Linked DNA regions of Lepisosteus oculatus. The protein of the gene in region 2 interacts with the protein of the main gene of each other region in a pairwise test. Links are inferred from orthologs where the notes say so. Each region holds a gene or a part of one and is shown on either strand. Other genes may lie near its edges. The genes, in order: nek6, leucine zipper putative tumor suppressor 2 homolog, hoxb9a and suv39h1b.

Region 1 (7,859 bases), on a different chromosome or scaffold from region 2:
CCAGAATGTTTCAAGATACCACTGAATTTAGACAAATTTTATATTTTTCTTTCATTTTTTTATAACTTTTAAAATATGTTCAGGTATATTCAGTCATTTTGTTTTAATGATATAGTCTTACGCATTTATACTGTTTTCCATTTTGGTTACCACAGTTTAAAAATTGAATTTGTGGATGTGTTTGAACCCTTTAAAGCTAATACCATAATGAGAGCTCAGAACGAGAAAATGAGGCTAAACATGGTGAAGCTAAGTAGTTCATCTTGCTTTGTGTTTTCATTACTTCAAGAATTAAAAAGTGTGTTTCTATTGCATTCAGTCAGTTGTAAAGCAAGGTGTACATGTTGGTACTATAAGAAACCATAACATCAGTAAGATATAACTATGGTATCAATGTAAAAAAAACATCAAGGTAAGCTCATTAGAGTAATCTTTCTTGTCATTTACTTGACAAGAATATGTCTAGAACATATATGTTTATATTAGTATTCAGCTTGAAAGACCCAGTATCACAAAAAGAGGAATATTCCCAGACAACTGTCACCCTGCTTAAACATGTTACAATCCAAAAGTAAAACAAAACAAAACAAAACAATTAAGTCAGTTGTAGTAACTGTCATAGAGTTTAAATTGCAAACATACAAATGTTTTAATCATTTTTCATCTGGTGTGGAAAATCCTTTGAACCAAAATAATTCATAAAATAAGAGCAGCAGACAATGCTCCTGTAAAAGAGGAAATTATTGATATTGGTCCTTAAAAGCACATCTAGAAAAGTCAGAGCAGTTAATCCTTTTTACCTTGATAGGTGTGTGTGTTAATGCCTGTTCTGTGATAACCCTTGACCTTTAGTTTGCATACTGTGGTTTCCACACCACTTCTGAGATACAGGGAGAGTCAGCAGAATACATTAATGATTCACTTAAGACAAGTCTTTAGTTTCTAGCTGCCTGATAAGATTATAGCCACAAGCTAGGAGTCAAGGTTATTTGTTATAATTCAATGCTACTTTAACAATAGCCTGGGAATGGACTTCCCAGAGGTACAGTGTATGGGCTGGATTTATAAAGGCTTGAGGTGCTTTAGTACCTCATTGGAAGGGAATGGATTTAGTATCATTATGTGAAATAATAAGAAGGTGTCAAATATTTGAATATTATAAGTATCCTTTGTTGTTTATTTGTAGTGTTCCAAAAGCAGGAAAGTGTTAAATAGTGATTTCATCCTGATATTTTTTTTTATTTACACAGGAAGGAAACGCGGAAAATCCAAAGAAAGTTTTCCAAATATCAGGCCTGGTTTCCCAGACGTGGTGAGTCAAATTGAATTCGTCGATTATTTTATTTTTTTTACAGTATATTGTTTGTGAATTGTTTTAGGTCCAATCAAAACTTTTGAAAAAGACGCCTCAGATAATCACCGTGTGGTCACATTATCACAAGGACAGAAGGCCTGCTGGTAACAGAAGAGGTTCTGTTCAGGTCTTACTCAGAATAATGTGAAAGGTATTCATGCATTCTCCAGTAGCATTCACAAAATGTTTTTAACAAGTTCAGTGTTAGCATTCTTTTATGTACTGCATTCAAATATTAACAGTCCTTTTGCTACTGTAGTGTTGTGAAAACTTGTATAACTGTCCATCGAAGTATTATTTTCTCCCTTTTGTTCTCCTTTAAAAGATCTTTAATAGCTTTTTTCAAAGTTCTTTCTGTTTGCTATTTTATTTTCTCCAACATGCACATGCAAGTACAAGTGCATTACTAATCTGGATCATAAACTGAGGCCCAAGCCTCTCTTTTAAGTCATTTCTTGATTTGTTTAAGGTGGAGGCCTATAGTGTTGTGACGGCATTACACGTAGCTGTAAAGAAACCCGAATTGTGTGTGTGCAGGACACCAAAGTCCCCAAGCGTACTTTCACTGTTTGTCATACCTTGTATGGTGGAAACAATGCTGTCGTCACAGTGCTTTTTCTTGGAAACCCTTTTGATAATGGCCTGTTAATTATATGGGTCTGTGTCTGCTGTTGTTTGCTTTGAACCTGTATTTGTACAGGTTGTACAAATCCTGCACAACACTGTTGATTTTGTCTGTACTTGGAGTTCTTTCCCACACATGTGTATTGTAAGCGCATCTGTGTACTTAGACGTGAAAAGAAAGCTAAATATATTCTTGTAAGTCTTACATCTTGATATGACACATCATGTTCTGATGTTTTTAAACAGAAATTCATGGCTTTCTGATCATGCCACGAGAGCATCTTAACCTCAGAAAGTCTTGAACGGACTATTTTGTAACTGGGTAGTTAGATAATTAGATAATGGGTTTTCAGAATTAAACTTCTGTAAAACTGAAACAGGGACTCAGTCTGCTGTGCATAAAATCTGAAATCTGTTGGAATGGGGAGTTTACTGAGATACGGAAAGCCTGTTGTATAACAAATCCTACGGCAGAATTATATAACGCATAAAGTTTTCTAAACAACATTTTGGAGGCTATTTTATAGACAAAAACACTAGGGCATTCGTAATGAAACACAAAAAACAAGAGCTGTGCAATAGAGGAAGCCAAGTCTATATTTATCTTTTAACTTGTAATTTAGCAATTTGAGTTTCAAAAGCTAAACTTCTGTCCAACTAAGTGGCTAAGTATGCTTGCATCCAAAGTAATCTTGCTTAGGGTAAACATTTTGCAATCATTACTAACTAAATAAATCCCACTGTTTTTATTAAAGAGTACGACTTTCTTCAGTGTTGAGTGCAGTTATTTGTGTAGCTTCAATTAGCCTTATTCTTTTGCATCTCTTGTAATTGGCTTAACAATACATGCTCAACATATTCCAGATTTCCAAACTCAGTCAGCTCCCACTTTCTTCTGTGATTCAAACTAACCTTAGTTGTGGTAGAAAAAAAAATCTGATACAGTTCCAAGCGGCTTGACCCCGTTCAAATCGGTTTTATTTCATGCCTTTCTGAATCTGAAAATGAAAAGGCTGTCATCATTACTCCCTGGATGCTTTTTTACTTATTTCATGACATCACTTGTCAATGTTTTCTTTCCAAGCCTTATGATTTAAAAGATTATTTGGTTTCAAGGCACAGTAACGAGCTATTGAACTCTTTAAAGACATATTAAAGATTGCTAAGTTAAAGGTGGAAGGCGAAAATGTAACTACAATGCCCTACAAATCTGTGAAGTTTGTGATAGTTCAAACCTGAACACTTCTAAGGGTGAGCTCAATTACAATAAATGACAGAATAAAAATAAAGAGAAAAAAAATGAATGTGGTGATTTAATAAGCACTCAGATCTGTGAGCTCAATAATGGTGGAAGCATCAGTGGTAGCAACTACAGCCACATGTCTTTTAGGTAAAACTTTGTACACTGGATTGGTGCAACATTTGCCCATTCATCTCAGCAGGTTTGCTCTCGCTTGGTGGTCAGTTATGGACAGCAGTTCCACAGTTTCTCAATAGGACTCCAATCAGGTCTTTGTGTTACTCAAAGACATTCGCTTTCTTGTTTGTAAGCAACTCCAGTGTTGCATTGGCCTTGTGCTTTGGATCATTGTCCTGGTGAAAAGTGAAGTTTTGTCCCAGGTTTAAGTCTGAAGCAAGTTTTCCCCTAACATTTGCCAGTACTTTGCTCCATCTATGTTCCCATCAGTCTTGACAGTCTTCCCAGTTCCTGCTGATGAAAAGCAGAAATTTAACATAAGACTGACACAACCATGCTTGACAGCAGAGATAAGGCTGAGTGTAAGATGCACTTATTTACAATAAAATTGTATAAATAAATAAAATTAGGTTAGCAGAGGATTGGAATACTTTTTTAATCATTATTTCTCCATTTTCCTTTCGTATTATCTGTTTACTTCTATTTACTCTTTGCTTTTTGCTTTGAATGTGTGGAGTACTTTCTCTGCACAAAAATATTAATTGCCACTTTAACGTGTCATGACTGCAAGCTTTAATGCAGACTGTGAGACTGGAGCAAAGGTCGGAATACGTTTGCAAGGCGCTATACAGTTGTTTATTAACCTTAATAGATTAATTTGATCATTACATTCATGAATTAACAGATGATTTGAATTTTAGCACAAGATACAATTTGAAGTTGCTTAGTTTCTTTATGAATTGTGATTAAACAGTAAAGGGACATCATTAAAATGGGTTTATGTGACTGCACTTTTATTATTATTAAAGCACAACTATTAAATACAGATTGATTATAATCCTGGGCCTGTGCAATAAGTACTGTATAGTTTGCCTAGTACCTTATTACAAATGGTTCAGTGAGTGGAGTTGACATCTTAGAATCTTAGTTAGAGCTGTTTTCTAATTGTGTGTGGATAAAGTGGTGTGAATATGCACAATGGAAGAAAAAAAAACTCCTGATTTGTCAGTACCAAGGCCCGGCCTGTTGGCACTCTGTTGTGTTGATCTGAGAGAGTGTAACACAGGCTGTCCTGGAAAAAAAAAGGAGAAAAAAAAGCTGGCAGGGGAGGAAACAGGAAGTGAAGCTTGTCATTGAAGGTTTCAGAGGGTGATTAGAAGCTGCAGCTGGGCTATCTGGTGACACCTTACCAGGGAGTCGAGACTTGCAGACAGCATCTCTGCGGTGTCAAGCACACAGAGGAAACATGTAAGTAGCCAAACCAAAAGAGGTTTGTTTGAAGATACTTCTTCCCCTTTTCTGCTTGCTCCTCTGACACAGTTGCATCATAAGGGATTTTTTTTTGTGTGTGTGTGGTGGAAAACCTTTTTGTACATGAAGAGCGCTACACCTGCAGTACTGTGCATTAGCAGAGTTCGGATGCACTGTATCAGCTGTAAGATTTTGACTTAAGACTTCTGAATCCGCAAGAGCATCACACCTGACGAGAAACCATCAAGCCACAGAATAAACATTTCTGTACTCACACGACAGATGAGTTCTTACCGATTTTGTAATAGTAAGCTGTTGTTTCTACACTACGTAGCATTAATAAAAACTATGGTTATTTACTTTAATGAAGAACTTTTTTGCGAGCAGCACTCAACTAGGATTATGAAATTATTAAATGAAATCCGATGTGTCAAGTGCCATTTCTGGGTTGGGCGACCTGTGCTGCTTTTTTACTGTAGAAAGATTCTACAGGTGTGCAAGCTCAAAGGTGTTTTTTTTTAAGAGGTGCTTCACCTCACATTGGACAGGTCTAATGCAGGATTTACGTGCCTTGTTTCCAATGTGTCTATGCGAGGCCTTGTCATTTTACTCTGCCATTCTTTTAACTTTTCCTGTGGAGGCTGGCGTTAATGAGGACAGTAGCTCTTGCTGTCTGACCCAATTCGCTGAAGACTATTGATTATTTCAGCATTCCTGTCTTCAAACGCATAAAAGATGTAGGGCTAGCGTACTAAGCCAGATATGGGAATGATCTCAATAGAGTAAGGGCTATGGTATAAAAGTTACATAAATTATTATTGAGGAACAGGCGCATCATGCTTCTATGAAATTGTCAATTTCGAAAATAAAATTTATATATACTTCTAAATGCGTGATGTGTTTCAATGCCTGAAATACATTTTAAAGGAAGGAATATTTTAATATCGTAACCTGTCAGGTAGAAAACAGGTAGCAGTGCAGATTGCATTTGGTATAATATAATGGGTACATTAATATTATTTTTGGATGTTCTAATGTAATGTATGTACAGTTACAGTTAGGATGTGTCCACTAGTTTATGAGCCAAACCCTGATTCATACTGGAGACAGTACTAATTTACATTTGGCCACTCATGTCCATATTTTCACAACAAAACTAAAAACGGGCAAGTATTTAAAATTATTGAAAGTGAATAAAATGTTTTTCACGGAAAATACGCACATTAATGTACGTCTGCATTTCAGAGTTTCTGCAAGTAATGGGGTAAGAAATATTTACTCAAGCCTGGCTGCAGTACCGTTTATAAAAATTGGCAATTCATCTGTGTGAGTTTTCAAAGTGAGAATGTGGGTTGCTATTATGAACTGGGGATTACATCATGTGTATTTAAAATGAAATATTTCTAGTATCTTGATTTAAGGAGTTCACTTCTGTCATTAAATATAAAATAGTGGCAAGCTCTGATCTTGTATAACTGTTATCTTGTAAAACCGTGCTGCGGTTTGTAATGGATTTCCAAATGCATAGATGTGAAACTAAAAATAGTTTGAAAAGTAATCTTGTAACAAAGCAGGGATAGCAGTGTGTGGCTCGGGGATTTATGTATACTTTTAGGAGTTATTTTCAGCTGTAATGAGTCAAGCGTAGCTCGTCTCAGTCCCTGGATTTAGCACCAGTCTATTGTGGGGCGATTTTCAACCACAAAGTCACACTTAACCCTCTTACTTCTATTTGCATCATTTCGAAGCAAGCTTAGGTGGCATTTCCTGTACCAGATGTAAAGCTTCTTCTAAGAATTTGTGCATTTTAGCTTTGATGGTGAGTGCTATAATTAAGAAGAAAAGTTTCCAGTTCATTAAAAGACGTGTTTTCTGCAAGGCAATAAAAAGACAGAAGCAGAGCAGCCCACATATTTAGTTCCTTATAATGCGAGGCAAAAAAAGAACCTGTTAATTTCTTAGTGTAATTATTTTTTTTTCTTCTTGTCGGTTTCTTTGTTCATATTTAGAGCGGTTGTCCGTTATCATTTTGCAGGTGGTAGTTTGATTGATTATGTTAATTTGTGCACTCCGGCTGTCTGGCTGAAAGGTGAAACTGGGCCATGAGACTGGGCCATGTCAGCAGCTGACTGCAGCTGGGATCCCCTGAGTGGAAGGGCACAGTGCTACACAGGCTAGGGTGGGCTTATTCAGTCAGAGCCCCCTCAGCTCTCGGCATCACAACGCCCCCTGCTGTCTCCTGGGCTCTTGCAGTTTGGCGGTGCTGGTGGTGAGGGACGTCCAGTACCTCTCCTCCAATCAGTGCTGAACTTCCAGTACTAGACCGTGTTGCCTGTGAAGTGTGAAACAAAACTAGCATCTTGAAGGCAGGCAGGTTGGAGGAGTCAGCCCACGGTTCCCCGTTCTCCCCTTGGTGCAGCTTACAGGGTTTCAAACCGTGGGTCGAAAAAACCCCCGGCCATCTGCTTCAAAATTGGGAGGGCACAACAAAAATACTGGTCAATTCAGAACTGAATAAAAAAAAATGTAAAACAGTAAAAACTTTCAGGGTGAAGCCATTGATATGAACTGTACAGTAGGTATACTGATCAGTGTGTTGCAAGGGCAAAATCTCTCATTGTGCCTGGTTTGCAGCATGGCAGGTCATTTCAGTCTCATGGTGTGTAGGAACAGGAAGCAGAATTTGTTGTCTCTCGAATGTGTATTAGTTTTTCAGAAAATGTTTCATCCATTGATGAACGCGCTGAAATACTTGAAAGGTCTTGTGATTCAGAAGGGGATTCTCTCCCTCTTTAGTTGATTGCCTCAGTCCTCTCAGGAGGCAGGAGCACGAACGTTTTCACTTGAGCAGAAGCCAGGCATGATAGCAGAAGAGGGCCTATATACTACTTCTATTAATACTGCTCGTATGGTATGGCGGTGACTCATCTTGTGGGGCGGAAACACAGGGCATCTGAAATCTAACAAACAGGGATTTCATCCACTTACTGCAGCAGTATCTTTGCCTGCTACAGAAGATAAGACACATTTTGCTTAAAATGGTGGTGCGTGCCCCTAAACCTGTAGCCTGGTGCTGGTGGTGCTGTGCACATTAAACCCTTAGTATAGGGTCCACGCACCCTGTTTTCTGGAGCTGGAATAAGAATAATAATAATAATAGAATAAGACTACCTAATAACAGTCTGTGAAATCAGGGTGGAGGCTGGACCAACC
Region 2 (7,756 bases):
AGAGTAATGAAGCCAATTCACAGAGGGGGATTGTTAGGAGGCCATGATTGATAAAGGCCAATGGGGAAATTTGGCCAGGATGCCAGGGTTACACCCCTACTCTTTTCAAGAAACACCCTGGGATTTTTAATGACCACAGAGAGTCAGGACCTCGGTTTTACATCTCATCCGAAGGACGGCGCCTGTTTACAGTATAGTGTCCCCATCTGGCCCCCCTAGCACCTCTTCCAGCAGCAACCTTAGTTTTTCCCAGGAGGTCTCCCATCCAGGTACTGACCAGGCTCACACCTGCTTAGCTTCAGTGGGCTGCTAGTTGTGAGTTGCAGGGTGATATGGCTGCTGGCAGTAACTTTTCCGTAACAGAGTGCGCTGGTCATCTCCACAATCTGTGTGCTGGAGGAAAGCAGATGTGGTCCATATCTCTCCTGTGCTGGTACAGCCATAGAAGTCACCTGGACTGTAAAACTGGTGATTTTTTATTGTTTGTGTGTAAAATGTTAAAATAATTTATGTTGATTCCAAAATTAAGAAAGAAAAACTCCTGGGGACCCAAAACCGGGCTCTCAAAGGAACAGCACTGGGTGAGAATTATAGTTATTACCTCTGGCTGTGCAGCCTAGGCTTTACAGCTCTGGTGTGAATTGTGCACAACGGCTCATATGCAAATTCAATTTTCCAACTGTGTGTTATTAATATTAGCAATAATAAAATCACACTTGAAAAACAAGCTCTCAAATGAAGCGTGAAAATTGCTCTAAAGGGGGCAATGTTTCAGGACGTGAAATGTATGACATTCAGAATGAGGGTCATGGAGAGTTCAGCTGCGAAGGGGTTTAAGATTTAGACTGGTGTGGAGCTCAACACACTCAGCTGCTTCATAGGTGGTGTTAAAGGAGACATTACACCTGTGTAACTTTTTGAAACTGAAGTGTGGTTTAACATAACACAGAAAGTTGCGTGCTTTGTCTTAGCTTCTAACAAGGCTTGTTTGTCATTTCTAAGTTTTTCCCAAACTGTATAGACCACCAAAAGCGTTATCTACACATAACAGCAATCTGAAAATAAACAGCCTTTACATGAAGCCAGCTTTTTGTTTCAACAACTGGTCTCACAGTGCTGAATGAGGCGGAACGCAGTGTGTGGTTTGTGTGAAATCTGGGACAAGGGTTCTCACGAACATTCTGCAGAGGGAAATGTATTTGTTCTAGAAAAACTATCTGGAGTCACAAGGTGATATTCCAAACACTGCACCTCTCGGTCACCCTAAGAAATCAAGTTTGTTATTCCTCTTATTTAATTGCCAAGCACCCATCTCCATTTGCCCTGCTGAAGATATCACATAATAATGGACGTTTAAATAAAATCAGCCTGCCCTTCTGTTTATAGCAATGCTGAATAATGGCGAGACACCTATTCCCATCGGGAGTTTAACGATCGAAGACTGGCATGATCTTCATTATGCAGATCTTTTTCTTGTACATGAAGCTTCTAAAATTCTCTATAATGGATTTTAGACTCTCCAATTATTTTTGTTTTATGAGATTTAATTGCATTAAATGACCTAGACATGCCAGGAGATAGTTAATGACCAATCAGTCAGGATCTAAGTTTAATCTCTTCCAGAACACAGCATTCTCTTCATCACAGTGCTCATGGTCATCTTACATTGGTTTGCATACCCTGGTCCAGAAGGCATAGCACCACCTACTGGTCCACCTACTGGTCCACTAACACAGCTTATTATGGCAACCTAGTGCACCTGACTCTCCCAGCACTAACCAGGCACAGCCTTTCTGAAGTTCTGACATCTGGCGCAATCAGTATAGACCAAAGGCAGCCAACTTTGGCACCTGGCTTCCAAGTCATTCCAGGACTTTGAAGCTTTCAATACATCTAGTGCTGAAATGATTCTCAATTGCTTAATGACCCAGGTGCCGCCAATCAGTTTGAAAATAATAATAATAATAATAATAATAATAATAATAATAATAATAATAATAATAATTGCTTACACTAATATAGCGCTTTTCTGGACACTCCACTCAAAGCGCTTTACAGGTAATGGGGACTCCCCTCCACCACCACCAATGTGCAGCCCCACCTGGATGATGTGACGGCAGCCATAGTGCGCCACAACGCTCACCACACATCAGCTATCAGTGGGGAGGAGAACAGAGTCATGAAGCCAATTCATAGAGGTGGATAACTAGGAGGCATGATTGGTAAGGGCCAATGGGAAATTTGGCCAGGACGCCAGGGTTACACCCCTACTCTTTTCGAGAAACACCCTGGGATTTTTAAAAATGACCACAGAGAGTCAGGATCTCGGTTTTACGTCTCATCCGAAGGACAGCGCCTGTTTAAAATGATGGAATAGCTGGAGCACAGACCTACAGTGGCATGCAATCCAGATGCCAAGGTTGACTGCCACTGGGCTAGATGGCACTGATGCCACCGTCAGCCTGCTTTATCTGCCTAATCAAGGGCGACAACCCCTACACCAGCATGGGGCAAATAAGCAGAGACGGGCTCCTTCACCCAGCCCTTTGTGCACTGCCACGTGGGGAATTCTGCCCACAGCTGGGTAGTAACATGACCCGCCTTCGAACCCAGAGAGTCTTGGTGGTTGAAAATGTTATTGGTAAATGACAATAAAACCATGCCGAGGTGCTAAGACTCCCTGCTGCTGTCAATGTAGACTCACAACATCAGAAACCCTCAGGCCAGACGAATAGGCTCTCTGTCAATATAATTTGTTTGTCTCAGGGGTGTGAGAAAGCTGCTCTTCACTTTCCAATGCCAGACCAATCCCCAGGTCTCAGTCCTACCAAGAACTGGCAGCTCAAGTGGTTCAAAGCTCATCATCGCCCAAAGGGATTGGGCTGCAAATACTTACAAAATAAAGTAATGTAATGTGGTTCAAGTATGGAAATGCATGCTACATCCTGTTCAAACCGTCCTTTATATTTTCTGATACTAAACAGGAGCTGCAAATTCCATTAGAAATTCTTTAGAACCTGTAATAGATTGAAAGGTCACCTACAGTCTGAATAATGAATAACCCGGTAGTTACCAATCCTATTAAAGATTAATCATGATTAGTAACAAAACACTTGTCTTTATGTGCAAATGTGTTAGTGATTGACAACCGAGTGTTTATGTCTTGTTTGTTACATGTTTATAAGGTGTCATTTACAAGCCACAAAGCCACAGTGTAAGTAAAAATGCTATGTAGCAGGGTTCCTAATGTTTTTGGCTGATGAGTATAGCAGTTCAAACACTGAGATATTACCACTATGATGTTTTACAGATCATCAGGAGTGGAACTTGTTTTCATGAACAGATATATGACAGTTTGAAGTAAAATGACTTTATTAGCGTCAGCACAGAGGTGTGGTGGTTAGGACTGCTATTCCAACTTTGATTCTTGTTGAGGTACCTTCTATGTGGAGTCTGCATGCTGTCAACATGAGGTTTCTGTGAGTACTTTGGTGAGTTAGGTAGGTTAATGGGTATCTCTAAATTCAGGTGTATCCTTTCCGATTGACATCTACAGTTAATAATACAATGTCCTGTTGTATAATAATAATAATAACAACAACTTTATTAACCCTTTACAATTTCTTGCATTAGGAATTATCTTTTGGCATACCCCAGCTTGCTCTCCATGAGACACAGAGAGAGAGAGAGCCTGGGGTCAGAGCGCAGGGAGGGGAAGGGGTTGGGGTTAAGGGCCTTGCTCAGGAGCCCAACAGGGTAGGATTCCTCTGCCAGCTGCAGGATTTGAACCAGCAACCTTTTGGTCACAGGGGCAGATCCTTAGCCACAGAGCCACTGTATTGATTATTGATTAACTTTATTGATTGTTCCTTTATTTCTTCTTGTGCTTTGTTTCCTGAGCCACAATAGTGTGAGCTTCTTGGCCATGTCATTACTATAAAAGAGTATAAAAGAGTACTTATTCTAAATTATCTGGATAAAGATGATGTTTAATACCACTATTGCTAATAGTTTTCCTCTAATGCTTTAATATACTATAAAAAACAAAATAACATTTATTGAACCGCAATCTTACCCTAAAATACTGGATACCAAAACTTACGTGTTTCCCGATTCTTATTTTCAATAAAATAGCTTTCTCAAAGAGAAACTCGATTTTAGGATAACTGGGATAAGCCGTTTATTATCTACAAAACGTTACTCGTGGGAACAGACCATTCTTAAATGCTTGGTTTATATGCTTTTCTGTGTGTAATCACCCGGAATCGACAGTATGAGCTCGGGTGGGAAAAAAAATGGCTAATTTAAGCATTTCAGCGAAGAATGGGATGAGACTGAAAATACTTTTGCCAAAGTAAACGTGATCTCTCGGGTTTTTCATTCAGATTCATACAGGTACTGTATGAATCTGAATGTACTAAGATGAACAGACGATGTTCAATGCGAGCATTATTTTGTAGTGGGAACAATTTACAGTGTAACAGCTGGCTTCTTCAGGACGCTGAGGTCGGCAGTCCGCACCCCCCTGCGGCCCCCCTCCCCCTGCCCGAGCCCCGGTGTGAGGGAGAGCAGGCCGGCTGTCTCTCCAGCCAGCGGCGGTGCGCAGACCGGTGGGGGCTGGGTCCTGCCGGGAGACGAGCGAAGGCGCTCGTGTTTGCCCGTCAGCTCCACAGGGAAGTGCAGGGCGATGGGAAGTCTGGTGCTGTGAGAGTCTTCGCTCGGACCGCCGCGAGGCTGTTCTGAAACTTGCTGGCAGACCCACAAATTCCGTCACAATAAAACTCAACACCGCGGATTTCGCATGCCTGGGAACTGAACTCTTCCCCTCTCTCTCTACGCTCTTTGCAAAAGTACGGTCTTGGATCTTCGGATGAAGACTTGCGTGTACTAGTTGGTAAGTTTACGGAACCAGTTTGCTTGTTGTTATTTATTTTGATGTAGCTAAATCATTTGATTACAGCTCGGGATTGCCGGTGTACCATACCTGCACTGTTGTCAGGTCTACTTGGAGGCAGAAACTTCGAACTAAACGCTGTTTATCATCACGTTTACTTAAAAGCACCACACCACACAATAACGCATAAGTATATATAGAAACTCTTCAGCGATTTTGCTATTTGCTGTAGTGTTGTTTTCTGAGCAGTGAAAGCACGAACAAAACAACCGGTTTTAGTTTTACAACATCGTGTGAGACTCCAGGCTTCGCAACAGATCGGAACAGCACCGGCGATCGCAATTGCATGTATTGAAATGTGTTATAAGGCTCTTACTAAGGGGCAGATTAAAAATATTGTTGAGGAACTCTCCACACTTTGAAGTGCGTAATTATGTGCTGTCGAGTTCTCGCGTCGGGATGGAAGGAGCCCTTTGATGGTGCGATCAATATCGCAGTACGATGTCTTTATCTTGGGGTTTCGGTGCCGCGGTATGGCTCGGCCGGTATTTTAAAATCCAAATGAAGACAGTGGCGGTGTTTTTGATCAGAGTGAAGTGGGTTGGGTCGCGAGTCGACACCGGCAGAGCGCCGGAGTCAGCGGGGAACCGGCTGGTCACCGTGCGGCAGAGCGGCGCTCTCCGTGGGTGTCACGGTGCGCGCTTAACATCCCCCGGTAATGTTTAGCCCCCTCCTTCCGCAACTGAGCTTGTAACGATCGGGAGAAGGAATGTGCAATTAAAATCTTTCATTTGGGATTACTCCCCTAGATGCTTTTAGTAGAGGCTTGAGTAATAGAAAGTTAGGGACTAAAATTAACGTGTTGTATGCAGCTTGCCTATTTCATTGGGTTCCTAATATTGTAAAGACAAAACTACAGCTTACCATGCACATTCATTATGACTGTTCCATTAAAATCCGAGATAACGTTCAGTGTTCAGGTCGCGGTTTTGCGCTTTGAGATCAAGCGCAGTTTAAAATCCGCCCTGTGGTTTCTTCTGCAGTGCCGTCAAATGGCGGTAGAGGGCGATGTCCTGGATCTGTGAGGGGCAGTGAGAATGATTTGTGCCTACTCCGCGTCGTGCAGAAAATCCCTCTGACCTTGAGCCCGGGTGGGACTGTCTTCACTCGCTCTACTGAACAGTTAGGAAATCCACACTGGAAGTCATACAGAGCCCCACCATATTAAAATAAATATCCCCAAACTCGAGCTGTTTTTTTTTGCCCTACATATTTCTGCACCTGTGGTACATCTGCTCCAGCTTTGGGCTCGAGCGTCTGAGTCAGGCCTTATTAAGAACAATGCTTGCTAACAGTGTGGTACTTTTCAAGCTGGGTGCAGGGTTGTCAACTCTCTAACAATGTGGAACAGAATGTTATGACAATGACTTTGAGGTACAAACCTTTACCACAGTAAGGACAGGTTACTAAAATACAAGAAAGAAGACTTTGCTACATTCCACCATCCTTGCCTCTGTGACCTCACACGCAGAAGGGTTAAAGGAACTCAGTCTCTTTAGTTTTGTTTATTATAGGTGTGGACAGAACCGACCCAGATGACTTCTTCAAGCTAAACAGTGACCCAAATGTAGAAGGCCCTTGTTCTAAACACACAGTCTGCCGGACAGAACAAGCTGTCTGCTTTGTTGTTCAAGTTGACTGCTGGCAGCCTTCAGGCAGTAGCTGGACGATGACCTACAGTGCTAAAGCTCACCGGGGTGCCCCTGTGTAGCCCTTCTGCTGGCTTTGTGAGATGGCCTGGCTGCTGAGTGTGTGAAACAGTGGCATGACAGCAGAAGCCCTTGAGTTGCTGGGACGCCTTCAGCCCTGAGACTCCTGGGAGGGCTCTTCACCTCCAGTGCTGAACAGAGCGAACCCTGTGATCACAGACTGGCCAAGGTGTCACTTGGAAAAGGAAAATGTAGGTGTTGTTTGGTGCCTATCGGACAAGGACACAAGAAGCCGGTATCATATTTTATTTATAGCCTTTTTTTTGCAATAGATTAATGAGGCAGTGTAAAGTATTGCCTTAAAGGGGAATGCTCTGTGGTACCAGAGCCCTTGACGGCAGCAAGCTCTTCCCATCTGACTGATTCCACCTGTCAGCTCAGGTTTATCTCTGGCCCACTTAGCATTTAGAGAGGCTGGCCTTTATAAAACCCGAATCTTCAGTCTCCCTACCACAAGCCTCTTATCAGTGGGTTTCAGATGCTGGTTTCATTTAGGGCTGAGCAAAGGGCTGTTATCCTGCAGCTGTGCTACAAAGACAGAGAATAAGTATTCTGTTTCATCCCCTACCTGATCCTGCACGGCACCAAAGGGTATTGTGTCAGGCTGGACAGTGAAATACAAGTTGTTAAAGAACAGTGGGATTCTTGAACATTGCAGGAAATCCTTGGAAAATGACAGCTTAATTCCAAGACTTGGAAACCTAATGAGGAAGGGTGGAATGGAGGAACAAATAAGTTTTGGGTGACAATGTGTTAACAGAATCATGGAGTTGTGGTGCTGTCTGTTGAAAAAGACGTATATTGTTATGATTTATTGAACTGATGACTTTAGGAAGGCATGATCTACCATCTGCATTGTAAAGGCCAGCAGTTTAGTTGCTGTGGTCTTGTGCAGGACTGACGTCCCATAGGCACAGTATAGTGTGCACAGTGACAGTGGAGCAGCAGGGCAGAGTGCGCGGGGAAGCGGGTGATTGCTGGGTGAGCAGAGAGGAGTTCTGAAGGATGTTATTAGAGAACTGCAGTGCGGCACAGCGGACGTGGCAGTGGAAGGCTGCGAGTTCTAATCCCAGGCGGGCTGCTGCTGTGTCCT
Region 3 (8,208 bases), on a different chromosome or scaffold from region 2:
TTTAACACCGGGTCAATGCATTGAATTCTCCGTGAGAGCAGAAAGCCCCCCAAAAATGAAATCTGTATCCTATTTTTATAATCAATTAAACATGGATGTCCGCCTCGGCGACTATGCTTGTTGAAGAGAAGCAGCACCGCATGGGAGGAGTCGGGACGGACAGCTGGCTCTCTGATTGGCCCCCGCACAGGAAGTAGCCCTGAAACGCTTTTCTATTTGAAACGCCAATTGACAGGGACCCCCTTCGCCTTCGCCAAAATATGCCCTAGCAATGTCATGCTCTGAAAGATCCCCTTGCAACGCTTTTTCTGTTAACTCTTTAATAAGCGGCGGTCACGGGGAGTCTCCCTGCGCCATCTATCAGCTCGACGGTTCCGCCCAGGATCCCTGGGCTTCGGTGTCAAGTCCGGACAAAGTCGGGAAAATGAATCCGCACCACCGCCAGCCGTCGCAGCCGACAGTGGGTTTCCCCTCGCACCAGTTTCACCCGGGGCTGGCGCACTGGGGAGAGCACCCGAGCCCCGAGCGAGCCCAGCAGGTGAGCGCTTGTCCCTACGGCGCGTCCATTGGAAAGGACGATTCCTCCTACTTCTTCCTCGAAACGGCCAAGCACCCTAAACCGCTGCCAGATGTTTCCGCCTTCACCAGACTCGTGTCGGAGATGGGCTCGATGAGCAGCGCTGCCGGGCCCATCCAGGGTTACTTCCGTCCGGAGCAGTCCTACACGGGGCTGAAACTCCTCGATTACAGCGCCCCGGACCTGCCTCCGGGCGCCCACCCCTCCTCGTCCCACTCGGACTCTCAGCAGCTGTATGACCTGGGCTTTCCCGAGCAGCACTGCACGGAATCGGACAAGAAGACCCCGAGCGGTGATGTGACACCTGGCAGCCCCCTCTGTCCGCCACAGAAGGGCAGCAGCCACGGCATCATCGTCATCAACCACAACCACCACAACAACAACAACTGCAAGGCAGACGTAGCTCCGGGACTGCTACAGGACAAACCCCTCTCGGAATTTCCTGCAGGCGATAAAACTCCTGGACAGGACGCGCAAGGTGGGTAGATACAGTAGAAACGAGATGAAACGGCGTCGTTGATGATAACGACAGGAAAACAGGGTTCCCTCTCGGCTGAGAGGGAAAAAAGGTGATTTTCTAAAGGCTGTAAAGGAAGGGGCGCCAGAACAACAAAAAAAGGACGCCTGCTTACAAAATTAATTTATTGCACCGAAGCCCCAGCGCCAGACTGAATTGCACTATTTACTGTGCTCTTTATAACATCAAAAACAACGGAAGGCTTCTTTTGTGAACTGGGAGAGTATAGCAGGCTATAGGTGAGCAATTAGCCCAGATCTATAGAGAAAGCCATATCCCCTTAAATGAAAACTAACAGCATGCGGGGAGCGTTTTTTTTTTTACCAGATCTGCTCGATCTACAGGATGAATTAAATCCTCTAGAGTAAACCCAATCCCAAACGTTCATTTTACGGCCGTGTGCATTCTATAAAATAAAAAAAACGTTTTCGTATTGCAGTGCAAAATCTCCTACAACAAATTATAAATGATTTGATTTTCCGGGGGGGTTTGGTGCAAGAATTTAATCAGCGCGAGCCCCCCGTGCACACACTGGATTCCGGCTTAACTTGAAATCTTTGGAGCAGACGTAACCACTCAGTAACCATCTTTTAAAAGCCACCCAGTAGGTTAAAACTGTTGCCTTTGCACCGTGTCTGTAACAGGGAGTTTTGTCGTTAAGGGGCAACAGTACGACAACGGCGCTATGGCTCTGTTCGACGTCAAAGCTCGGCTTTTCGGAGAGCCAACGGCAGACAAAAAAATATCAACAGACACCAAAATCTTTCCTCAGGATTGAAATTTTGCGCTTTTTTATTTTTAGTTTGAGAAGAAAAAACCAAACATTTCGAGTACAAGTCATATTAACAAAACTAATAGTAAAAAAATAATACAATAAAGTAGAAATAACCCATTATAAATCTAGAACACCGTGAGAAAACCTATAATATATTAATATATAATAATACTCTATTATTTTTCCCCCCAATAATACAAATTTGAAGAAATCCAGTAGTAACAAACAAAGGTATTCATGTGATAAACCCAATGTAATACACACAATAGTGTCTTTGAAATTGAACATCTCGTTTGTCTTCATAGTCATTTATTTTATCATAATTTTGTATATGCCCACATTGCTCCTGTACATTAAAATAATTGTCTGCTAGCTGCCCAGATAAAGATAATGCGTCAGATGATAAATTCAAATTGTAAAATGTATCGCATGTAGTTTTCAGAATTTTTCACTGATTCAAATTGCAAGTTATGGATTAGGCCTACTAATGTATTTCGTTTAACGTCGAAATTTAGTATCAGGTCGAACACTAGTATCCTCGTTTCTGGAGGAAAACGGGAACTTGCATAATTGTAGATTTATTTTGTTAGCAAAAAGCATTTTTTCACACAGCGGAGAAGAGATTGCGGAAACTCGTCAGATGAAAGATTCCGGCACTCCTGGAAGAAAATCGTGCAGCGGATGCCACAAATATTATTCAATTAATCTCAAATCCTCAATCCTAAAAATCGTCCACGTATTCGCGGTTTAATCGTTAGATGGCCCTCTGAAAAGAACTAGATACATCACTTTTATGATTGAATTCACAAACACACTTTCTCCCCCGCTCTCACACTGTACTGTACATCCTTTGGGAACTGTTCATTTTAAACGAGGAAACTAACGAGAATTTATCGTGCTAGGACAGTAACTGTCACCTGGACGATCAGGTGCAAAACATTTGTTTTATGTTTTGCATTTTTTTTTCGTTTATTTTCGCTGGGATGGCTTTACATTGCAGTAGCGGGGCAGTACAACAACAGGAATCTTCATCAGCCATCAGGAGACCCAGGGTCACCAGTGGTGTGCTTTTGAATGTCTGCTGTATGCCGGTATTTCGATCCTTGAATCGTATAGTTGCTTTTCAGTGACGGCTTACTTAATGTAAAGGGTCAAACGTTGAAGGTGTTGTCTATGTGCGTACACTCTATATAGGACGCGCAACAGAGAAAACATTTTTTTAATTAAAAAGTGAATAAAAAAGTCTTATTTCTCACTTGGCAGAAGACTCAAAGGCTGAAAGTGCCGCTACCGGCTGGCTGACCGCGAAAGCCGGAAGGAAAAAGCGCTGCCCGTACACCAAACACCAGACCCTGGAGCTGGAGAAGGAGTTCCTCTTCAACATGTACCTGACCCGAGAGCGCCGCCTAGAGATCAGCCGCAGCGTCAACCTCACTGACCGCCAGGTCAAGATCTGGTTCCAGAACCGGCGGATGAAACTGAAAAAAATGACCCGAGACCACAGGGCTCGAGACGTGACTGCACACTTCTCCCTGTGACGCACCGGGGGGGTTTCGGGGTCTCGGGGACAGTCAGATCCGGGACGCATCTCCTCCCAGACTCTGAAGCGGCGCCGCAGGCCTGGAGAGACCGGACTAGAGACCATCCAGAGACTCAGAAGACCAGACACTTGCATGGAGACACGTTTTCTTATTATCTTAAAGTTCTACGTTCCAGAGGTCACTAAACACGGCCTCCAGTATAACTTAACCTTGGACCACGGAAGCACCTTATAGTTTATTTAAACGGTCTTATAAATGGTGAAAATGTGATGTAAATGTGTTTCGTTTCATTAGTTTACTCCTTCGATTTCTCCTCTTCCCCTCTTTGGCCTCCGCATAAACGATGCGACTGGTTGTGCAGGTCTTCTTCCTCTCTCCTGTTTACAGGAAATGTGTGTAGGGAATTTACAACCAAAGACGTTTTCTTTTATATAAAAAAGCTGCATTGCGGTTTGATGTTGTATTTCTTTATGTTGTTTACCCTGTCTTTGCATATTTAGGAAAAGCATCTTAATTTCCCCCCGGGACGCTAAGTTAAAGAGTGTTACAAATACAAGCACACAACGGACTTGACTACAATTTTTTTTTTTGCAACGAAACCTGTTTTTGGTTTGGAGCTGCTCGGACTAACAGTTTTCTTGCTCTAAGCAAGCTGTCCCTAACGGGTTTCGCGTCAACACGAACTTTTAATGTTTAAAAAAAAAAGAAAGCATGAATGTATTTTAATGTTTATGGTTATTTCGTATATTCTGTACAAAAAAAAGTTTTTAAAATGAAAAGGAGCTCGCAGTTTTGATTCTGTATATGGGTGGTTATTTTCATTCGTTTAATTGTGTTCTGTGGTTGACTAATATAGAGACTGCTCCCATAACGGCAGGCGTGTGAAATGTCTTGTTTTCTTCCTCAACGAAAAATATCTCGTACTGGAGTCGTCTTTTCGCCTCTGTGAAGTCCCTTCTGTTTCTCAAGAGGTTGGAATTAGGAAATTGCGATTTCTGCTTTAGCGCTGGGCGAATCGCTGCTTTATACTGCTGTATCTGGCGCTTCGAGAGTCTTGAGTCCGCGTTGAAAATTGTCCAGAAATGAAAACTCATGTGCAGAGCAGGATGTTAAAAATGGGAACCAGAGGCAACACAAATAGCTTGTTTAGTATTAAACTGTCCCGGCCGTTGTGTTCGTTATATGCGATTGTATTTATATGCGTCTTCTTTGTGTGTTTCCAGAAGATGATCGCGTAATTTTATCCTCTGGAGTTTTTTTTTTAAAGGGTAGCTGTAAATGTTTCTTCGAGGTGAATTAGTTTGCGAGTGGGGGGGGGTATACGAGTTAGGAACAAGAGAGTTGAGCAGAAACCTAAGAAATAATAAACGAGAATACAACGGAATAAAATACAATGACGTGTACTTATTTTAAAAGCTGTAAAACCAAAGACATGTGCGTCGGTTTATTGTACTTCTGCAAAATAAAGTGTTTGTTAAAAATGTAGTGCGGAGGCGCTGCTAAGTGAGTGTTTGTCCAGCCCCTTGTTTTTATAGCTCGAATTCGACGAGCAGCCTTAACCCCGTGATGCGCAATTTAAATTGTTCGAAGTTCAAAAGCAAGGGTAAAGTTTATTGAATTTCCTCCGACGTGCGTTTATATAGCCTTACCGTCGCACTAAGACGACTCTTGCGCGGAGACGAGGCAAGACGCTGAATTCAAGGGAGGTGTGGAGCCTGTCCGGCGCCAGGCGATGGATAATTCAGTTGGGTTCTGTATTATCTATGTATCTCCGTGTGTGTGTGTGTGTGTTTGCCGAGAATAACGAATTTAAATCATTTGAAGGGTAGAGAAGAGAAAGCATTTTTTCAGGTGAATCACCCCAGGGAAGTTGAATTATCGTCTGAAGGCCTCGGGTTTATGTTTAAAGATATTTCGTTCTCTTCTGCTTTCTTGGACTCTTTCGTCTGTGTGTTTAACTGTGGGCCGTTCAAACCACCAGCCTATCCTTTTGGCGAACTCCAGGCCTCTTGAATGTATTTTGCAAAATTTCTATATTTGGTTGGTAAACGTTAGCATCGGCGAAAACGAATTCTGTGCCCTTTCGTTTTTAATGTCAGACTAGGTTTGTATTTTACGCTGGGTTATAAGTGTTAACTGGCTATCTGGGCTCGCACGCCTGTGATTGACAGCTGTTCGCCTTTTGTTTGGATGAGCAATAATGGAATAGCTGTGCGCGCCCGCCATGTTGAAAACGCACCATTTTAAGACAGGATGAGAGTCTCAGACTGAAGAATCTGAATTGAGAGAAACAGACTCTTTAGCTGTGGGAGGGATGACTCGGTATAATTAGGTTTATTTTCCTTGGAGAAATTATCTCGCTATTTCTACCGTCGCCCTGTAACGTTGCCTCCTATAATTTAACGACTACACTATAGTTCAGTCCCTGGGCATAATTGCAGTGAATCGAAGAACCGTAGCTCTTGCCAGATTTCGCATTCTGTACCAATGTGACTAAGAACAAAATGTGAGAGTCCAGTCTGAGCCGTGTTTACCATCTTACAAATTACATTATATACAGAGAGGCGGCTTAATTCAGAAGGATTTGACTGCGCTTCAAAGTATCTTAGCAACCGTTTCTCTCCGGATGACGCCTCAGGGTGCATGTGACGTCACTTTCCCAGCTAGCCCAATGGCCTTTTCCGAGAGTCTGATTTTATGCTAATCTTCGCCTTTGAACCCGAGGAGAGCCGAACTGCTGTGTGATTTAGGTAGTTTCATGTTGTTGGGCTGCAAGTTTATAATCACAGGAACCTGAAACTGCCTGAATTACTCCAGTTATTTAACGCCGAACCTTCTGAGAAAAAAAAAACCCACGATAACGGTATTGGAGAACAAGAATCTTGCCATCTAGAAATTTATTGATTTTGTAAGGAAAAACCCTTCTTCGGGTGTGACGGCTTTTAAATGAAAACCGACAAAATGATTTGTGAATACTGTAAAAAGTGGAGCCGGTGTCCACAGGTTCGTGTGTCACTTTCCCAAATTTTTTCAGACTTTAAAACTCTGAAAGCTACGTCCTGTAACATACAGCCTCTCGCCTTGTATCTGCAGCCAGCGCTATTCTCAAAATTAACTGGCCTGCATTTACGCTTTTGGGTTTATCAATCCTGCTATAATTTTCAACAAAAACTTTATTTTTTTTGTAACTAGTTATGAGATGCCTGGGGACTTTACGACAGATTCCCTTTGCCTTCAGCCTGAGGGGAAAAAAAAACTCTCTCTCGGCTTGTGGATACTCTAAAAAAATAAAACCGTGATTTTCTTGTTCAGAACAGGACAATCCGCTTTCAGTTGAATTATTCACATGCGTTTTGAAAGGTACGCAGGCTGGTACAATACAGACGCGATGGGAAACATATATTGCTTTAAAGAATGGTTATGGTTTCATGGTGTAATAATGGAATAATTCAATTCAGGAAAAGAACAACACAGCAGCATTCCGAAAATGTCCATATTTATTTACTTGGGGAAAAAATACAATTTTTCGTTTAATGAGAGCCTTACATGTACAGGACAAAAATGTAGACAAAAAAAAGGGCCACTGAGTTTAAATATCTTCGGATCCGATTCAGAAAAGACACAATGTTTTCCGTGCCTCATTTTTGTGCTGGAATTAACCCTGCGTTAATGAAATATATTATATATATATATTATATTATATAGAACAATATATAAAATAACATATAATATATAGAATAATTTATATATAACAATATATAATATAATGTATTGCGTCTTACCCTAGTTTTACTTCTTACACATCAGGATTCGCGGAATTTTATGAACGATATGGCACTGTGTCGATTTTCAGCGCTGTGCCGATTTTTAGTGCCTCGCTGAGGTGGTTTCTTCTGCGAGATTCTCCCAACAGACGAGCGACAACACAAGAATATTTGTGTGCAGCGCTCCACCCCGCTTTCCCAGCCGGTACAAAGGAAGCGTGAACTATTCAAAATACGAAGCAACATTATTGTTAAAATAATTAGTTTTTCGTGTTTTCTGGGTGTGATATTACCCCTTATTGCTGAGAAACGCTTATAATTGTTATTATTTCGGTGCTGCGTTTGTCATATGGAAATGAAACTCATGTTTAAATGGTGGGGCACGACAGTTATACTGTTATATATTCCCAGGGTCTACAAATCTGCAGTAAGGCGTATTCGCACATAATAATAGCAACTCTATTTATTAAATATCTTAATGATATTCCTGCGTTTTCGAAGTTTGGAGCGTCTGGAATTATTTTTATTATTACTACTACAAGATGTTGTGTGTCGCTGCTAATTGTTTTTCATGTTCTTACAAATTTAAAGAATACGAATTCAGGGACTGTTTTTCAGAAGAATTCGCCGCTGTCACGTTGGTGTTTCAGTAGCAGGCTCAAATCCTAACTCGCTTAAATAACACCGAAAAAGTTTAAAGGCTTTACTCCACCCAAGTCAGACAATGTGCAATATGAATAGCGATGGTTCTTCTCAATAAACATACCTTTTTAATAATCGTTATCAAAACCACATGCTTGAGTACACGCGTCTAGATCTAGATATCAGGAGAGTATAGATATTCCAGCATACATATGTCGTACCGAATTGTCTTAAGACTGTAATTCGCGTGATACTTTAATTTGTAAAATCGAACAGCCCATCACAAACCACAGCTCTGGTCTGATCCCTCGGGTATCGATCTGGAAGGTGGAGCTTTGATTTTTTTTTATTTATAGTCAGAAATATTAAGGGGAAATTCTGGGAAATAGATT
Region 4 (7,901 bases), on a different chromosome or scaffold from region 2:
TGCATGCATGTGAGGAATCATTATTATCGTATTCTACTTCAATGTGACCCCCCTGAATCAGCTTCTTATTTCACAGATCAATCATCGGTTGAGCATGCTCTGCACTAGTGGCACGAGAGGGAGAGCACCACCATGGTGCATATAATCTACTATTTAAGTTAACCAAATCTTCACAATCAGTGCCAAAACACCTACCTATCAACCTTCTTTTTGGAGGGGAGTGTCCTGCATCATAACCTGTAACTGGGGAACAAATTCAGAATTATTAGTAAGATATGCAGCAGTTTGACACCTTAAAATTCTCAAAGCAGTATTTACATGACTGAAGGATTAATCACAGAGGAAATAAATACGGGAGAGGAAAATAAGTCCTGCTGAGCATCATATTAATACGGAAACAACAGTGGGTTATACAAACACATTATAAGTCTGGAACTATATTAACATCTGTTTTCCCTCTGACTCGTGTATTCAAAAAGGCGTGAAGCCCGGAACAGCTACACCCCGCCGGTATTAAAACAGCAGCTTGATCTGGGGCTGTCTCTGCCTGCGGGAGGGAGCTGAGACCCCTTGTTCACAGCGAGAGCAGGGATCAGAGACAGGGGTGCTGACCTCGTGCTCTCAGTGTGCACTCACATGTGAAACCAGCAGAAAAGCTGCTTATGTTTCACCACTGTCAGGTTCCCGTTGATACCGACTCTTCTGAGTTAGTGATAGAAAGTCATTCAGCACTGAGCCTGATTGGCAAACCACAGCTCCAAAGAAACCCCTCTCTCTCATTCTCTCACAAGACTAGAGGAGGAAAGACACGCGGTTTTGAAGCTACTTTTTTGTTATTCATCAGTAGCTGTTAGTGACTCAATTTCCAGGAAATAGTGAGAGGAGGCAGCATTGGTGGTGTCTGATTTTGGAATTATTTTTCCATTTGTCCTAAAAAGGATTCGTTTCAAGTCTTTTAATTTAAAAAATATCCCCTTATTCCTTTTTCAGATAAACCTAAAATGACAATGTTGGCTCCTGATAATAATGAAAAAAACAGCAATGCTAATACTGGGTTCCTACTTGTGCAGGACATGTTGTGCTTTGAACAGCTGTTGCTCGGTTTAATCAATCTCTCAGTCAAAGTCCTTGTAGGACAGAGCCAGTGAGAAGGTTTCTCTCTGGCTGAGGAGCTGAAACAAGCCGGGCCAGCTGACCGCAGCAGGTTCGCAGGCCCCTCCTGTGAAGACCACCCTGACAGGGCTCACCCTTCTCCCATTCTGTCCGCAGGCTGTGTGCTGTGGAGGCGCAGTTGATGGACTTCAGGACATCCAGCGCCACCTCCACGGCCTGGGAGCTGAAACGCTCGGCCATGAGGTGAGCTGTGTCAGTGCGGTCAGCATTTTCCAGCTCCAACCAGGAGATCCTGTGCTCATCCTGCTTGCTGTAACGCAGCTCATGTCTGAAGCGCTTGAAGTCTTCTGTAGTGAGATCGGCGAGGTGGTGAGACAGGAGCTTAAACACAACCAGCCCTCTATCCAGCGTGAGAGAGTCCAGGCCTTCTGTTTAAAACATCAGACTCCTCTGCATCTGTCAAGCAAACACAGAGGGTCAAAATCCCGCCGCTGAAAAGTAATTAAAATAAAAGCAATTAAATTACTTCTTCTACAAGAATATGACAAATGTACTGCTACAAACTTTTCCACGGTGCTGCAGAAATACTGACAGAACATTGATTGTCTGTCACTTCACCCAATAAATGAAAATGATTTGTATTCCTGATATAAATGTTTCAAAAAAATAATGAAAAAAAAATAGAATACAAAATATAATTGCAGGAATATTTATACAGAAGAGATTGGCATTTCTGCTAGGATTTCTGTAGCAAAATGCAGTATGTAGCAAAAGAAAAATAATGTGTCAACACCTACATTTTATCTTGATGTTTCCTGTGAGGCGAATGTGTTGAAAGTAAATGACAATGTGAAACTTTTTCATGCATGTTAGATTTTCAATAATTCGTCCACTTTCTAATCTCTTCTTCCAATTCAGGGTTGAGGGGGAGCCAGAGTCTCTCCCAGCAATCCTATCCCACCAACGGCCACTGGGCTGGGTACATCCTGGACAGGATGCCAGTCCGTAGCAGAGCACTCACACCAGGGCCAGGTTTCCCAGAAGCCAATTAACCCACCCGTATGTCTCTGGGCTGTGGGAGGAAACCGGAGCACCTGGAGGAAACCCACAAGAACATGGGCTGGGGGAGAACATACAAACTCCACACCAACAGCAATGCAAGCCCAGAATTAAAATCAGGGCCACAGCACTGCAAGGCTGCAATGCTCACCACTGCACCACTGTGCTGCCCTAAAATCATCTATTGATCAAAATGATTACTCTCCTTTGGGGATATGACCACATTTTTACCCATTAACCATCACAGACACAAGAATTGTAGACAGACAAAACCGGCAATTGATTCCATTTTCTGAAAATGTAGAACCAAGCCTGTAGAAGAAAATGATTTAAAAAAAATCTGATACCCTGAGGCAAAAGAGGTCGCTGTGTTTCTTGGTAAAGCTTGTAAGTAGATCGGTCTCACCTCAGCTGTGCGCAGTGCTCCTGGTTGTTGTCTGTCTTCCTCGCGCCTGCGATGCTGTTTCTGACTGTTTCACACATCAGACACATCCAGCCTCAGCCTGGCCCCTGGCCCCTGGCCCCTGGCCGTGCCACCAGTCAGCCAGGCACACGCCATACCCCTCTGTCAGCAAGGGAACGAGGCTGCGAAAGGCTTCTACAGAGGTTAGAAAAACAAGCTACTTGGAATCCACCTGCAAAAGCAACTAAAAGAGGACAAAACAAGACTTCGCTTACCTTCTGCTGGGCTGAGCCAGCGATGGTGCGAATCGAAACTGTTTTGCTTTGGAGGTTCAGCACCAGTGCTTATCTCTGCCTAGTGCAGGAAGTGGTTGGCACGTGTAGCAGACTTTATGAAAGATTTCAAGAGGTCTCACTGAAGGCGACGATGCTCTTCTTGTGATCCACTTCCTGGGCCTCCGCCCGACTGATCCGCTGTCTGGAGGTGTCCGGACTCGTGTGACCCCGAGCAGGACTGCAGCTGCAGCAGTGGCCATCCTTCACATCCTTCCTATGGCATCCCACCTGGTAAAGCTGCAAAATGATGCATAAATACACTAAACCGAGGGGGTTTCTCGAAATGGGTAGGGCTGTTACCCCAGTGTCCTGGACAAATTCCCTCCTAGCCTTTCCCAATCATGGCCTCCTAATAAGCCCCATCTCCGAACTGGCTTCATCACTCTGCTCTCCTCCCCACTGAGAGCTGGGGTGAGGTGAGAGCACTGGTGCACTATGGCTGCCGTCACTATTAAAAACACTATTAAATTTCTCCTGGACTCGGAGAAATCGAGGTGGGGAGAGAGCACGAGGGAGCCGTGTTGTTCTGGACTGCCAGGACCGGAGACGATGCCTGAGAATCACCGAAGGAACTACACAGAGGACAGAACAGCTGGACTGCAGTGTCTGGGGACTTTTGTTGGGTGACTGAGGTGTAAATTGTGTGCTTGCCTCTGGTCTGCCTCCTCCCACCCCCATCACGCTATGGTTTTGTACAATGTGCTGTGAGAGTTGTTGTGATCACTAGGAAATGAAGTGCCTGTTGCTGGTCTGTGTGTATTCGCTGGGGATTCTGGGAGACGAGCAGGACTTGTGGCAGGAGAAGGGTCTTAGCACCCTTTAGAATTGTTAGGTGGCATAGTCGTCTACAAAGCAAAAGTAAATCCTATAGGAGTCACCCAATCCGTGACACGACTTTGAAACAACCCACATAAAACTGAAACAATCTCTTTGATTCCTATTAGGTATGTGTTTGGTAAACTGAGCGGGGTGACCAACGCTACGTGTATCTCACACACGTTTAAGGAAACCGAAACCTTTACTGCTTTCAGTGCTTTGCGGCCAACGCCAACACGAAACTCACACAGGAAATCGGCTCCGGACACACAGAGGTGTCACTGACGGTGCAGGACAGAAGTTTTATTAACGGTGAAAAGTGATGAGATATGTGAGCACACAGAATATGTGTCGAGCTGGAGGTATTGGTTTTCGCTCACATTAATCTTCCAATGATAAATGGCAAATGTAAGAGAATACCTAGTTAAGTAAAAAGCCATTATTTACGCTATGCGGTCTAACTGACAGACACCGTAGGGCATCCCAAATGGTTAAAAATAGAAACATTAGCGAGCCTTGTATGACAATTGATAAACACGACTCGGCGCAGCTCAGTAACATTCTTTCCATAAAACCGGAAGCGCGCTGCTGATTTGAAACCAACCACCAGACCCACAACTCAGCGCGATCCCCGTCCCTGGGCATGCGTGCCCCTGGCCAATCACGGCGCTCGCTCGCCGCCCTGTCCCCTCCCCCCGCCTGACGGCGATTGCTCGATGTGGACGCCACTCACGCCCGCGCCGGCCAATCGCTGGGGGCGGTGTGCTTAAATCCCTGACCGTTAACCCCGGCGCAGCGGCGATCTCCCGCCTCTGCGGGCCTGGCCAATAGGAGGGCGGCTCGCGAGGGCGCTCGGCGGCGTGACTGGTGAGCGAGCGCTGCCTGCGGTCTCAGTCAAAAGACGCGGCTCAGTCAAAAGACTCGCTTTCCAATCGCTCCGGTCCGCTATCGCTTTTGCCCCTCTCTGGACGTGCCTAGGGGGGGGAGTGGTGGCGCTCATTGGCTGCGCCGGGTGTCATTTGTGGAGCGCTGTAGCCAGTCGGAGAGCCGTCCGCCGTGTGCGCCCCCTGCCCCTGCCTAAGCAGGCAGATTTTTGGCGGCGGGGAAGAAGATGGCGGAAAATTTGAAAGGTAAGAAAGTTTTCGCGTCGCCCCCTGCGCGAAAAAGGCGGCGGATGCTCGCCGCCGCTCGGCGGGGGCTCTCCGGGCCGGGCCGTGTACCCGGCGGGTCCTGTCGGGAGGGGCGGCCGGGCGGCGCTGCGCTCGCTCTGGGGGGGGGCAGGGGGGATCCGTTTAAACCCCCGGCCGGAGGGGCGCGAGCCGGGGGACCCCGGGGCCCTTCCGGGAACCCCCCCACCCCCGGCAGCCTGCCGTGCGGGGTGCCCCCCCTCCCCGGGTCCCCCATCGCGGTGGGGGGAGCAGTCGGTTGCCCGGGCAGGAGCTCTGCAGATGGCCGTCTGCGGTCCGGAGACGGTCCCGGTGGCTCCGACGCGCGTCCTCGCCTCTCTCCCCGGGCTGTGGGACCACACGGGGGTGCGCGGCGCTCGGCCGGTCCGTGGCGCCTCCGACCGCAGCAGAGGGCTGTGTCGTGCGGCAGCTCTCGGGGCTCGGTGTCGCCCGTGAAGCCGCGGGCGCCGGTGGGGTCTGTTAGGAAACGTCTCCCCGCTCCTGGCGACAAGAGCCCCAGCTGACTGGCTGCAGCACAGGGGGCACACGTATCCCTCACCGTGCCCGGACCCCACCGCTGTCCGCCGCATAACAGAGCGGGATAAGGCAGCTGAGACCTTCGGTTGCTCTTGAGTCTAACAGCAGTTTCTGACATTCCTGAATAAAATATTCAGCGGGGTAAAGCACACCGCCACATTGCGTGGTAGAGTGTTCAGGTTCTCTCTCACTTTTTAAAATGGAAAAATAAGCTTGGTTGTCCGTGATCATCAGTGTTGCTAAGCATGAGATACTGGTGTGTGCGATTCGGCCCCGGTGCTTCCTTGGCGTCGGGTGCGGTGAGGCCAGTCGGTGACCGTGATGTGGGTGACGCAGGGGCGCAGGTCAGTGCTACTTATGCCTGGATTTGGCTTCTCTGTTGATGCTCAGGGCCGCCGTGTCTGCGCTGGCAATGAGAAAATAAGCGCAGTGGTTGATCGAAGGTGCTCGAGTCGTGCAGGCAGGAGAAATTATCTTCCCAGAGTTGTTGTGTGGCAGGGAAAGGCTCAGACTCGGCTCTCCTGATTTGAAGCCCTTGTTTTATCCCCCAGAATAAAAGCTCAGTGCTGTCTTGGTTGCTAGGGAAGGTTGCCTCGGCTGCAGACACAGTCCGAGTTTCAGGGGGCTTTAAGGAAGCTCTGACTAATCTTTCCGAGTATTTCTCACAACCTAAACTATAACTCTAGCGAGCAGATCACCCCTGTGTCTACAGTACCACACGGTGAGGAGTCTAAATTGTGTTTCTGATGAAGGTGAGTTTGCACCTACAGAGCATCACCGTCTGGAGTCCGGCAGCTGATTAGTCCCCGAGTGTTCCTTCCGCAGGTTTGTGGAAAATCGCTCTGCACTCGTTCAGACGTCCTGCCAGCTGTGAAGGGCACAGCGCAGAGGGCGGTGGTCTTGGGGCGCCCGGGGGAGGGCGTGACGAGCTGGAGGGGCGCGTGTGGTGCCCGGGGGCTGACCCGCTGTCCTTGCTCGTGCGCAGGGTGCCGCGTGGCGTGCAAGTCCTCGTGGAGCCAGCTGCAGACCCTGTGCCGGCTAGAGAGGGTGGCCTGCAAGGAGCTGGGCATCACCAAGAAGAACCTCAATGACTTCGAGGTGGAGTACCTGTGCGACTACAGGAAAACGAAGGTGAGTGCCCGCGCAGGGGGGTGGTGAGGCCTGGCTGGCGGTGGTCTGTCTCTGCCCTGGGCGCTGGCGGGTCGGGGTCATGACCCTCTCCAGCCCTTGCTGCGCTGGCACGGACGTGTGCACGGTCTCTCCCTCCTGCCTCCTGACACTGCCGTCCCAGCGGCCGGAGTTGGCTCTCGGCTGTCCGCTGCTCAGCCCTCAGAACCGCTCTGGGCTCGAGGCCCGGACGGGAGCAGCTGCACGCCTTTCTCTGAGGGTGGGGCCGTCGAGCAGACTGTCATTTATGTCTTAACAGCTGTCATTTGTTTTGGCTTTTTTTGTGCATTTTGTTTCCAAAGAATATTTGGTGTACTGTTCCCGCTCCACTCCAGATTTAACTGGGCAGCGGATTCCGGGCCCATGTGTCCCGGCAGCTGACAGGGAGCCAAACCCAGCCTCTGGAAGCAGAGCGGGAGCAGGGAATTGGGTGGGAGTGGGGGGGCTGTTTGCGCAGGCGCTGGTGATGGTGTCCAGTGGGGACAGCCTGTTAGATCCTTTAAACAGGAACAGCACTGTGGTCTCATTGGTGCCGTTTTATTTTTATTTTAGTCACCCAGGAACAGGACAGACATGCTCTCCCCGCAGTTTAATTTCTTGACGATGAGCTCGTTTATAAATTGTGAGCGGATGCACTGATCTGTGATTGCGACCGATTGGGGGGGGGAAACAAACCCCAATAAAATAAGGCGAACACTGTGAGGACCAGTTAATACTGCCTTCGTTTTTATGCCACGTCTACATGTTGGTAACAATGACACATCAAGTTTAATCCTTTGGCCTGTTTTCCACCACGTGTATGTTAAGATCCTGATGGACAACTTTGAAATGAGCAAAAAAAAAAAATTTTGACATGCCACCATCTGCCTGCTCTGAAGCACATTGAGAAATGCATTCAGAACTCGCTCAGAGCTCCAAGTATGTGCCCTTAGTGACAGTGGCCGATGTTATGTGCAGTGTGTGTTTGTAGGAACACGTGTGTAGTTTTTCCCTTAGTCGGGCCCTGTCTGGCTCTGGGGTCAGTTTCTGTCTTGCTTGTGTTGTGTGTGAGTGAGTGTTTAATAATAATAATGTTTTGTGAGGTTGCCATGTGGGTTGATTGATTGTGTTGCTTGTTGCGTGACCTGCCCTGAGCTGGAGAGTGACTGCTAATGTCCCAACAGCCCTGCCTTATTTAACCCAGTCACTGTCGCTCATCATTAGAGACGTCAGTCTGGAGGTTCACACCACAGGAGGGTGTAACCATAGTGAAGTGGGAACTGATGAAAATGGTGGCACTGTGAGCGAATGGGTCTTAGCCGTGTG

What was found.
Region 1: the proteins of leucine zipper putative tumor suppressor 2 homolog (region 2) and nek6 interact in binary tests that used the Homo sapiens proteins (3 or more experiments, as listed by UniProt). The two-hybrid records come from large-scale screens. The link is inferred for Lepisosteus oculatus from reciprocal best matches to the Homo sapiens genes LZTS2 and NEK6.
Region 3: the proteins of leucine zipper putative tumor suppressor 2 homolog (region 2) and hoxb9a interact in binary tests that used the Homo sapiens proteins (3 or more experiments, as listed by UniProt). The two-hybrid records come from large-scale screens. The link is inferred for Lepisosteus oculatus from reciprocal best matches to the Homo sapiens genes LZTS2 and HOXB9.
Region 4: the proteins of leucine zipper putative tumor suppressor 2 homolog (region 2) and suv39h1b interact in binary tests that used the Homo sapiens proteins (3 or more experiments, as listed by UniProt). The two-hybrid records come from large-scale screens. The link is inferred for Lepisosteus oculatus from reciprocal best matches to the Homo sapiens genes LZTS2 and SUV39H1.

Annotation. Positions count from the first base shown.
Region 1 is NC_090719.1:13,837,614-13,845,472, reverse strand, and holds the start of nek6 (serine/threonine-protein kinase Nek6), read left to right. Parts: upstream 1-4,545; 5' UTR 4,546-4,641; coding exon 4,642-4,643; intron 4,644-7,859. UniProt on the Homo sapiens protein: Protein kinase which plays an important role in mitotic cell cycle progression. Required for chromosome segregation at metaphase-anaphase transition, robust mitotic spindle formation and cytokinesis.
Region 2 is NC_090699.1:45,525,333-45,533,088, forward strand, and holds the start of leucine zipper putative tumor suppressor 2 homolog, read left to right. Parts: upstream 1-4,548; 5' UTR 4,549-4,894; intron 4,895-6,468; 5' UTR 6,469-6,854; intron 6,855-7,756. UniProt on the Homo sapiens protein: Negative regulator of katanin-mediated microtubule severing and release from the centrosome. Required for central spindle formation and the completion of cytokinesis.
Region 3 is NC_090723.1:9,345,741-9,353,948, reverse strand, and holds the start of hoxb9a (homeobox protein Hox-B9a), read left to right. Parts: upstream 1-5,041; 5' UTR 5,042-5,154; intron 5,155-8,208. Other genes in the region: hoxb10a (homeobox protein Hox-B10a), read left to right, coding at 272-1,055, 3,133-3,407. UniProt on the Homo sapiens protein: Sequence-specific transcription factor which is part of a developmental regulatory system that provides cells with specific positional identities on the anterior-posterior axis.
Region 4 is NC_090697.1:77,485,562-77,493,462, reverse strand, and holds the start of suv39h1b (histone-lysine N-methyltransferase SUV39H1), read left to right. Parts: upstream 1-4,523; 5' UTR 4,524-4,837; coding exon 4,838-4,856; intron 4,857-6,414; coding exon 6,415-6,560; intron 6,561-7,901. Other genes in the region: NACHT, LRR and PYD domains-containing protein 3-like, read right to left, coding at 196-243, 1,248-1,353. UniProt on the Homo sapiens protein: Histone methyltransferase that specifically trimethylates 'Lys-9' of histone H3 using monomethylated H3 'Lys-9' as substrate. Also weakly methylates histone H1 (in vitro).